Linked DNA regions of Oryzias latipes. The protein of the gene in region 1 interacts with the protein of each later gene in a pairwise test. Links are inferred from orthologs where the notes say so. Each region holds a gene or a part of one and is shown on either strand. Other genes may lie near its edges.

Region 1 (3,655 bases):
GGCGGAGCCGTTCAGCTCATCCAATCAGCGGATGGCACATTTTCTGTTGCTAATGGCAACCAGCTGGTGACAACAGCTGTTTCTGGAGCTGCTCCAGCTGCAACTGGATCCACAGCAGCGGCAGCTGAGGGCGACGGCGTGTCAGACGCGGCTCAAGTGGTTTCTACAGGATCAGCTGACGCTCAGGTACAGAGCAGCGAGGCAGATTCTCAGAACCAAAACCAAGCCAACGGGCTGCAGAATCAGACTGACGCCGTCGGAACCATCCAGCAGGTGATCGTGGGTCAGGTTGGGCATCAGCTGGTCCAGCAGATCCAGTTGCAACCCCAAGCCCAGAGTCAGGGTCAGCCACAGAACCAGCAGCAGCCTCAGCAGATTCAGACCCTTCAGTTGGCGCCAGGACAAACTCTGCAGCCCATCCAGGCCATCCAGAACCCAGCCCAGGTTCTCATTCGCACTCCTACTCTGTCACCTTCTGGGCAAATCACCTGGCAGACGTTGCAACTTCCTGGAGGAGTGTCGCTGCAGGGCGGTCTCGGGGCGGCTGTGCCGCAGCAGCTGACCCTGGCCCCGGTTGCAGGCGGTGCGACGGTGGGGGGTGGGGGGTTGGTCTCCCTGAGCGGCACTCCCTTGACTTTGAGTGCAGCTCAGATCAACCCAGGCTCAGGGGTACAAACGGTCAGCATCGCAGGACTGGGCACTGCTGGGGTTCAGGTGCAGGGGGTTCCTCTCACCATCACCGGTCTGCAGGGTAAGTACACAATAAGTGTAACAGTGTGACTATGAGACACTTTTTTCAGAAGTGATTGACGTTTTTTATAGGACTTTTGAATCAATTTTGGGGCCGGTTCCCAGATTAACCACTTAAAGCAAAATATCAGAAACATCCCTCCTGCTCAGACATTTAGAATTTTCTCCTCTTGCAGTTTTTAGTGTATTTTTTTTCTTCTGCATGTCACATAAAGGTTGACACACTTTTCAAATTCACCTCTAGGTCAAACACAGGGTCAGGATGGGGTCAAAGTTCAGTCCTCTCCTGTGACAGTCACTGTCGGCAACATGGCTTCAGGTTCATCCATGAGTCCAGATCAGCTCGGCTCAGTTCAGAGTTCCTCGGATCAGGAGGGCCAGCCCAGCAAGCGGCTCAGACGCGTCGCCTGCTCCTGTCCCAACTGCAGGGATGGAGAGGGGAGGTATGGAGAGCTTACAAGAAAAACAACCACCAGAAAGCAGTTAATTCAGAAGTACAATAGACATTTTAAAGGGTTGGATACGTTTTAGTCTCTGCAATTTCATAGTTATTGACAAATAGTTAAAGGATTTGAAGTTTTATTTCAAGTCCCACTCCGATCATCTTTTGATCCATTTTAAAAGTGTTCCCAGTGGTCTTTAAAGTATCAACAAAATCTGTGTTGTTTTCTAAAACACATTTTCTGCAGAGTTGCTGGAGTTCGTTGGACTACATTGATCTATTTGTCTGCAAGTGGATCCATCAGAATGGAGCAGAGCAGGAAGCTTTTTCCAACGGCATTTTTCCGTCTGCAACCGATTCACAATTTGCATTAAAAAAAAAAACCCACAGAAGTGCAATTTTAATCTTAAATTATGTTATATATATCCTCCATCATTTCAGAAAATACCACAAGAAAATGTTTTCACTAGAGTGAGTCTTTAAGTTGTGTGCTTTCTTGAAGATTCACTCTTTCAGTGTTTTTTGTTGTTTTTAACACAAAAAACGCAGTTTGAAAAAGTTTGTATTCATGATGTAGAAAATATACTGGGCGGGCCACAAGCTCCTGACTCCGCCCCTTTCTTATGCATCCACTTGCAGACAATGTTTTCTTCGTCTGAGCCGGTATCTTGATCAGAACTGTACGACTGGATCGCTCTGATAATGTTCGCCAAATTTGTTGCACCAGTAATGTGAGGGTGGGGGTTTGAGGGGCTGTAAGCCAGTGGGAGAACGTAGAAACAGATGGGTGATGGGAAGTGGGGTGTGCTTACTTCGCGGCAACAGTCTCGCCCACAATTCAGAGGTGAATTTCTAATTAACTGCTGCTGCTCTGCAGAAACTATGTCCTAGAAAACAACACAGGCTTTAAATCATAGCATCATCAAGATAAAAGACCACTGAGAACACCTTTGAAATGCATCAAAAGATGATCACTTGTCCCAAAAAGCAAATCAAAGTCTGACATCTGATAGACTACAGAATTTTGTAACAACATTTTATTCTAGAACACCTATTGGGTGCCGTTTGCAAAGTGAAAAAATCAGATATTGACAACAATATTTTTGGTTATTTAGCCTGTTTTAGGATAAAAGCAACTGGTTTCATTTTTCAAATGCATATTTTCACTTTTTAATTAATGTATCTATAACTTATACTTTTTTTAACTAAAAATTTAGTTTGGAGCTAAATGTTTCACTCCTAACTAAATTTTTAGCTAACATGCAAATTAACTTGCTGATAAGCGGAAATGGACTATCAAAATAAAAGCTGGATTTTGCGCTGTCTCTGAAATAATTCTCGCCAGACGTGTCCCTCATGCACTTTCTTGTGCCATATTGATGCATGTCCAACATTCTGGCGGAATGCTGCTTTTTTGTAATTAGGCTTCTTCTACCGGAAAACCGAGTTTGTTTGTGATTGTTGTCATGCTGAAAGTTCCAGCCATGTTTCATCTTCAATGTCCTTGCTGATGGAAGGTTTTTACCCAAAATCTGACGATACATGTCCCCATTTATTCTTTCCTTCACACCGATCAGTTGTTTTGGTCCCTTTACTGAAAAACAGCCCCAAATCATGATGTTTCCACACCCATGCTTTACAGTGGGCATGGTGTTCTTTGGATGCAACTCAGCATTCTTTATCCTCCAAACACGACCAGTAGAGTTATTACTAAAAAGTTCTATTTTGGTTTCATCTGACCTTAGGACATTCTCCCAATCCTCTTCTGGATCATCCAAATGCTCTCCAGCAAACTTTAGACGGTTCTGCACATGTACTGGCTTTAGCAGGGGGACACGTCTGGCACTGCAGGATTTGAGTCCCTGGCGGTGTAGTGTGTTACTGATGATAGCCGTTGATACTTTGGCCCATTCTTTTGGGTACCCCGTCTGGTTCTGGGATTTTTCCTCCGTTCTTGTGATCATTTTGACCCCACAGGGTGAGATCTTGCGTGGAGCCCCAGCTCGAGGGAGATTATCATTTGTCTTGTTTGTCTTCTATTTCCTAATAATTGCTCCTACAGTTGATTTCTTCACACCAAGCTTTTTATCTGTTGCAGATTCAGTTTTCCAGCCTGGTGCAGGTCAGCAATTTGGTTTCTGGTGTCCTCAGACAGCTCTTTGGTCTTGATCATAGTGGGGTTTGGAGTGTGACTCTGTGAGGTTGTAGACAGCCGTATTTTATATAGATAACCAGTTCAAACAGGTGACATTAAAACAAGTAACAAGTGGAGGACAGAGGATCTTCTTACAGAAGAAGTTACAGGTCTGTGAGAGCCAGAAATCTTGTTTTCTTATTGGTGGCTGACTAAATACTTTTTTGCCTCATTGTAGATAAGGAAGGGATGGGGAATTGGCATAGGGGCTGTTTATAGACGGTTCTGTTGTAATATTATGGCATTATTCGATTAGCGCCCCCTGCTGT
Region 2 (3,677 bases), on another chromosome or scaffold:
AGACTTGTTTATTGTATCTTCTTTTGCACTGATATTGTGACTGTTTCAATCTCATTGCACATGCAGACAGTGACAATGAAGGCATATCTTATCATAACCCTTGTGCTATCCTAGGCACTTTACCATTGGGAGTTGGGTCATCTAGACCCACTGGACAGTGCTCTGAACCTTTTTTCTTCAATGATTTGTGATCTTCACTGGTGTCCATGGATTACATGAAATCTTTCCACCTTTATCATGGTAGGGAGAACACGTCAAAGTAAGGGTGGGGTCATCTAAGATAACACAAGGGTTAAAAGATGATATAGTAATAAGATGACTCATTGATGTGTATTTTTTAATTGATTGCTTTCAGTGTTTGTTCCTAGTTTTTTGCAATTCTATAGAAATTTTTGCATCAATTTAACTTTAGATTGAATTTTAAAAATGTCTTGAACTCGCCAAGTAGTAAAACTTCATCCGAAGCCCTTTTTAAACCTGTAATGTTATTCATTGTTACACTTCTGTTTATTCTTTATCAGTTGGAAATAAAAAAAAAATCAAACCTGACAGATGCCACAGTTCCCACCGAATCAAATGCCTAATAGTAGCCGAGTGAAAAGGAACAGCAGAGACATTTCTGGACTTTATTTTTTCAAATACACAAACGGGAATGAAAGCTAAACCGACTGTAACAGCTGCATCAGTTTTGGCAAGCAATGTTGTTTCCGCTGAAAATGCTCATTAGCTTGGCTAACGCTGCACTTCCTGTCCATGTGCAACTTCCTGTCATGTACAAAATGATGTATACTGGTTGTAAGTGACATACAAAGGAGTTAATAAAAAAAAATAAACACTTAATGGGGTGCTCCTCCATCCATGCAGTATAAATAAACATCTGACAAAGACTGCTCCAATAGGTATTCTAAGCAAAACAGCAGTAGACAACACCTTGATGTACATCCTGAGTCAGCGAGTTTGGCATGTGTTTGGACTACAGCAGATGAGACCAAAACGATTATTTTTGATGTTTTATACCAACTGGGAGTGTCGACAGCACACGTGCTGAAAATTAAGTGAGAACAGTTTCTAATTATGGGAAAAGACTAAAGAGCAAAACGAGTTTTAAATGCATCCTAAAACGGAATAGTCATACACATCAAAAGGTACAAAAAAATATCGATCATTTATACACTTTGACATTTCGTGGCTTTCCTCCCATGTGTTTTGGTTTGTTTTAAGTATGGGCTATTTGCAAAAAACAAAAAAAAATATAAATACTAAACAGGCAACATGAAAGATCTTTAAAAAATATGAAGCTTAATGACACACACAGCCAAAATCAATATCTTTACATAGTAAACACAATGCAACAATCATTCACTTTCATTTCCCCTGCATATGTACATTTAAAAATATATTTAACATTGTACACAATGTGAAGTCTTGGAAAACATGAGAGGGAAACAAGTCTCCAAGGTGGCCATTCAGTGCTTTCTACTATTTTTTTTTAAGGTCCATAGTGTCATTGCTCCAGGGTCACAACCTCCACTGCCTGGCCGTCTAGTGTGACAGTGTTATCTATGCGTGTGGCGACAGGTGCCATGGCAACCTGGACGGGCCGGTTACCCTGGGCGAGGCTGGTGACTACGGTCTGGTACATGCTGACCGGGATCTGGACGAGACCTGAGGAAAAGACAGGAACATCCAGTTAAATTGAGCCCAAAGGCTTTTTGCTTGTTTTTTTAGGATGGTTCTAGAGGCCCGCACAATCCAGGTGTGTGTTCACGACAGAAGCAGCCCTGTCTCATGGACGCCATTTCTGAACAACAGTCCGATTGAGGATCTGAGGCTCGCTTCCCCCCCCCCGCTCCCAGCTGTGCTGGAGGAGATTATTGCTGCAGTCACGTGGGCCTCAGCCCCACCCAGCAAGCTGTCACTGTGTCACAGGCAAGCAAGAAGGTCAGTGCGGGCTCATGTCCCTCTTTTAAATATTAAAGTCTTTCTCAGCCCTCGAGGTTTCAAAGTGGTCATTTTAAAAAAAATAAAAAACAGCAGTTATGGAATCCATCCCACTGTGAACACAGAACAGTAATCAGCCAACCAAACAAGCATTTGTTTTTCAATCAAACTGACTAGAGGAAAAATTTGTTCTTGTTTTTAATGACAATGATGTCAGTGAATAATAATAATTAATTAATAATGATCATTAATAATAATAATTGAACCACAGCCCTTTTAAAATCTGATCAGTTGGATTATTTAATCAGTGTGCACAATTAAAATTAAACAGATCAATGATTAGTCTATTCATTGGTTTTGGAACCAGCCAGGAATTTAACAACCCCCCTAGTGGCTGCTTGATGAACTGACCTGGATCCATTTCCCTAGTTTTTTACAGTCCATCTTACACATCCAACACGCTGAGCTGGGTTTGTGTCACTTTGTTGGTGGAGATCAGTGAATGCAGACTAAGTGATGCATTTCATTCAGTTCTAATGACAGTGATAGGTCGAGGTCATGAGTTTTGCTCTTTTGATGAAGACTGACACTGTGCATTATGATACCTGCATATACCAGATAAGAGTGTTAAAGTGAAGAAGCTGAACAAATGAAACTTTATTAATAAAAATCTTAACGACCTATTCTGATGAAAATGGTGTTTTTGAGTTCATTTTTCTGATGACAGAGAACATATATAAAGAAATTTAAGGTCAACGTTGCATTTCTGAGTATTTTGTTTCATTCATCGCGAATCAGGAGCAGATGAAAAAATTCTGTTGCTCTGCAGAAACTGTGCTCTATCTAGAAACCACACAGGTTTTTTTGATTTTGGCTAATCATAATCAAAAGACCACAGGGGAGGCCTTTACAATAGATCAGAAGATGATCGGCGTGGGACTTTAAATGGTCACATGGTTATGTGAAGCCTATCCTTTCTAACGCGTCATACCTGCAGACACCTCACTAGTTATTCTTACACAGATTGTATTTCACTGATATCAAGAAGCAACATACATCTTTAAAACTATTAGGGATGCATTGGTGTGACAAAGCTGTGTTTGGTGTTTTAATGTCTTAATTGTTAACATTTCTCTTCTTTTGGTAACATCCACTTTCAACCACGTTTGCTGTGTTACAAACTGTTCCCTGTTGGATTCTATAGTTGTTTTTATCCAAATGGTTTTATTTAACTTATTTTTCACTAATTACTAATATCAATATGAATGATTTGTTCGTTTTTTCATAAAATGTGTATGAAGACCTGTATAATAGACAGTCTCTGGACTAGCTTCCTTTGCATTTGCTGTTAATAAGTCAACACAAGATAAAAGCTTCAAGTGAAACCCAGGTTTGTGCGTCAGTTACAGACCACGACCTGCAGATTAAAGGCAGATTAGAAGAAAGCCCATCTTGTCAAACGGATGTGTAGTCTCACACATAAATCTCTACTCATTGAAGACATTTCAAACCTCAAATTAGGGACTTTAACAGCCTCTAACTTTGTGTCTCTGGTTAGCATGTCGCAGCTTCACGTCTGATTCTGAAAATTAATTAATTAAATTTAAAAAAAGTGGAACGACAAAGTGCGCACTGGATTAGGCGGGTCATTTATTAGCAACATATTAAAAGAAGGGAGTTCTGCCACAAAGTGCACACGGACTAAAACACACCATCTGTCACATCAGCACAGAGTG
Region 3 (3,655 bases), on another chromosome or scaffold:
CCTGAATATAAGTCGCACCCTGCCAAACCACGCAAAAAGCTGCAACCTATATTCCGAAAAATACAGTACTAATACTTTTCTGCTTCTCTGGAAATTTGTGCCGAAATGAGTCGGAGTAAGGAAGCTGCTGTCATCATTTAACAGAAGCAGTTCTTTCTTTCCAAAGTTGTTGGTTAAACAAAGAATCATTTTTCATGTGTGAAAACAGTGATACAAAAGTAAACTCATCTGTGTTCATGCAAAGTGAGTAGAGATATGAACCTTTCCAAAGGTATAGAAGCTGATTTATTGTGACATTTTTCTACATGTTTATGCGTGTTCTTCACAATAAATTAACCCCTTCTTGTATTCCTCTCCTGCCGTGCCTCCTACAGTTGACCCTGACCCCAACGCAGCAGCTGCTGATCCAGCAGGCCCAGGCTCAGATCCTGGCTGCAGCTGTGCAGCAGCATACAGCCAGCCAGCAGAACAGCACCACTGGGGCCAACATCTCAGCCACTGCAGCCACGCCCATTACCCAGTTACCCCTCTCACAGCCCATTCAGATTACCTCTGTAAGTCATCCGCCTCTGAGTTTCTTCAGACGCAGTCAGAGGTATGAACATTCATGGCACATTGTTTGTTCTTCAGCAGCTACAACAGCAGAGTTTAGGCCTGCCTCAGTTTGTTCTGGTTCAGCCTGGTCATCACATTGCTACTTCACTGCAGCCGGCTCAGTTCATCATCTCACAGACACCGCAGGCCCAGCAAGGTAAGAGAGGATGCTGAGGAGCATCAAGAGGAGCCATTTCAAGCGTTATAATCACTGTTTCCTTTTCCATTGATGCTGTGCAGGTATATTGCAACCCCAGAGTCTTCTAACTCAACTACCTCAAAGCCAAGCTAACCTCCTGCCAACTCAACCAAGCATCAACCTTGCAACTCAGGTTGGTCTTAACGCAGCCACTTCTTCAAACGTCCAAAGATGTGTTGGAGTTGCTGTAAACTTCAATGTTTCTCACATTTTGGTTACGCTTGTGACCCGTGTAGCCTTCAACTCCAACCCGAACTACAGCAGCCACGCCTATTCAGCTGCCCCAGAGTCAGACACCACCCAAGCGGTTGGATACTCCCACGCTGGAAGAACCAAGTGATCTTGAGGAGTTGGAGCAGTTTGCCAAGACTTTCAAACAGAGACGAATTAAACTGGGCTTTACACAGGTGAGATTTGAATCGCCTCCACACGATCAGGGAAATCTACATTTAACAATTTGCCTTTGTTTTCCTGTGTGTTATTGAGAATTACTATAGATTTAACTAGATATGTTAATTTAAGACTTAAAAAAGTAAAAAGTATTTTATCAACGACAAATCTTTGTGAAAAGATTAAAGGCTAAACACAAAAGTTTTTTTTCCTTAAAAATCCAATTATTTACTAGATAACTTGAGTGATTCATGATTTTGGTAAATCAATACTTTTTAAGGGGAGATGGAGTGTTTCATAGTTATAATGACTAATATATGATAACATGGCAATACATGAGTTTCTGATAAAAGCATGAATAGTTTCCAGGCTCTGAAAAAAGCTTTCTTTAAAGACAGAGACCAAAATCCTGGATTTATCTGGTGCAAGGACCAGATTGTGTTTGCAATTCGTCTTCTTTATTGCGCCTTTAAACCAAAAAAAATGTTTTTGTAAATTCATTAACAACACCAGAAATAATGTGTTGGGGACATCCAAAGGAAGCTTTGAAATTATTATGGGATGACCACAGGACCTATGACTGGGCAACCATTTTGTGGCACCAGGTAAAGTCAAAGCTTTGTTGACTTTTGACCTCTGGAAGAGGCTGTCAAGTTGAATTAAAAAAAAAAAACTTAATTAGCAGCAGCAAATTTAAATTCCTATCGTCTATCTCTTCCTAACTTCTCGACCGTCTTTGGGAAGCTACTTTGGAAAACATTTTGGAATAAAGAGTTGTAGATTTGAAACGGCTTACACATTGCGTGCTTGCAAAAGAGGCGTTTCCCTGTTCACACGTTTTTTGCTGGATTTTTTTGAAATTTTAATTCTAACTGTTAGCTCACGCTTAATGAAACAAATTACCATGCAATATGAATATATTAAGAATATGGGCGTGGTTAACAAATCCACCATTGCAAAGAAAATCCATGGTTTTAATTTTCTTTGGTTCCATTCTCTCTTTGATCACTTTCCTGAATCACACCAAGATACAGGGTTAGAAACCAAACCATAATTTTTAGGCAGACCAGTTCCATGTGCATCAGTGTTCAGGTGAGCGTTACCACCTGGTCAAGTGCGACGAGCTGTCTTTGTAACTTTAGGTTCAAACGGGTCAAGGTGAAAGCTCTCTAAACTCTCCAGACTGGAGCCAGAAACCCAAGACACCAATGACGGCAACAAAAATCAAGTTAGTTTTTGCCAAAAATTAGTGATGCCTCTTTTCTCCGTGGAGTATTTGTAAATGTCCTCACTTCAAGATCAGGTCTTGATCTCTGGTGTTGCTCATTTTACGGTCCAGAGGGCACTATACAACTCTTGTATTTTGACCTACATGTTGTGTTGACTTTTGCTCTAGTTTCAAATCTTTCTGAAGAGTTTTTCTTAAAACATCCGGTAATATTTTATCATTGTTTTAAGTTTTAAAATAAGTTAGTTAAGTTCAAGTTAAAGAGAGCTGAGGGGCGGAGTTTATATTCATCCTGGCATTTATGTCACATGAAAACACAGAGGTTCTTCTAGGATATTTAAAACGAGGGGAAAAAAGCATCTTGCATGTAATTTTAATGAACAGAGATTTATTTCAAGGGTGTTAATCAAACCCAGGAGATGAGGGGACCTTTAATAATTAATGCTGCTCATACTTCTCTGTCTGCTCCTCTGCTTCTTTAGGGGGACGTCGGCCTGGCCATGGGCAAGCTGTATGGAAACGACTTCAGTCAAACCACCATTTCTCGCTTTGAGGCCTTGAACCTGAGCTTTAAGAACATGTGCAAACTTAAGCCTTTGCTGGAGAAGTGGCTTAATGATGCAGGTTTGTCCCTAAACCTACAATCATCATCATTTTCATACATTCACTTTCTTGAAAACGAACATAGATGTCAAGTCCTCACCTTTAACTCACTCATGATCAAAGAGGTGCGTTTAAAGACACACTGAGGAAATTGTGTTTTTGGTGTTTCTAACATACTCTTGAGTAGTGCAATGGATCACGGCTGAACCGTGATACATACGGATCAGTAGCTATGGTTTGAATCCCACATGCATTAAATTATTTGTAAGGGAGCACTTTACCTTTCTAGTTAACTATAATGGCAATAGTAGAAGGGTGATGGGCAAAACTGGATTGCTGGGTTCACATCAAACACAATGTGCGTGTCAAATTTGCATTGGTCACCTTTGTTTTGACAATTCACTGCAAACGCTTGTCCAAAAGTGTGTTTATAGACTCGATGATCACACTGTGTGTGGGAGGAGCTACAGTCAATTGTTTTTCTTGGTCAGACCTCATCGCTGCATCATGGAACAGTCTGATATGTTAAGAGATCTAGTTCATTTATTTTGAAAAGCTTTATTAAAACATCAGTAAATACCTCCCCATGTCTGGGGTCGAGAGATCATTTAGAGACTCTGTGAGCTTCACCATCGACTGCG

Evidence for each region.
Region 2: the proteins of sp4 (region 1) and nrf1 interact in binary tests that used the Homo sapiens proteins (3 or more experiments, as listed by UniProt). The two-hybrid records come from large-scale screens. The link is inferred for Oryzias latipes from reciprocal best matches to the Homo sapiens genes SP4 and NRF1.
Region 3: the proteins of sp4 (region 1) and pou2f1 interact in binary tests that used the Homo sapiens proteins (3 or more experiments, as listed by UniProt). The two-hybrid records come from large-scale screens. The link is inferred for Oryzias latipes from reciprocal best matches to the Homo sapiens genes SP4 and POU2F1.

The regions. Positions count from the first base shown.
Region 1 is NC_019869.2:9,692,405-9,696,059, reverse strand, and holds part of sp4 (transcription factor Sp4), read left to right. Parts: coding exon 1-751; intron 752-994; coding exon 995-1,193; intron 1,194-3,655. UniProt on the Homo sapiens protein: Binds to GT and GC boxes promoters elements. Probable transcriptional activator.
Region 2 is NC_019881.2:14,758,364-14,762,040, forward strand, and holds the end of nrf1 (nuclear respiratory factor 1), read right to left. Parts: intron 1,666-3,677; coding exon 1,505-1,665; 3' UTR 613-1,504; downstream 1-612. UniProt on the Homo sapiens protein: Transcription factor that activates the expression of the EIF2S1 (EIF2-alpha) gene. Links the transcriptional modulation of key metabolic genes to cellular growth and development.
Region 3 is NC_019879.2:10,747,703-10,751,357, reverse strand, and holds part of pou2f1 (POU domain, class 2, transcription factor 1), read left to right. Parts: intron 1-374; coding exon 375-554; intron 555-630; coding exon 631-751; intron 752-834; coding exon 835-926; intron 927-1,029; coding exon 1,030-1,200; intron 1,201-2,893; coding exon 2,894-3,035; intron 3,036-3,655. UniProt on the Homo sapiens protein: Transcription factor that binds to the octamer motif (5'-ATTTGCAT-3') and activates the promoters of the genes for some small nuclear RNAs (snRNA) and of genes such as those for histone H2B and immunoglobulins.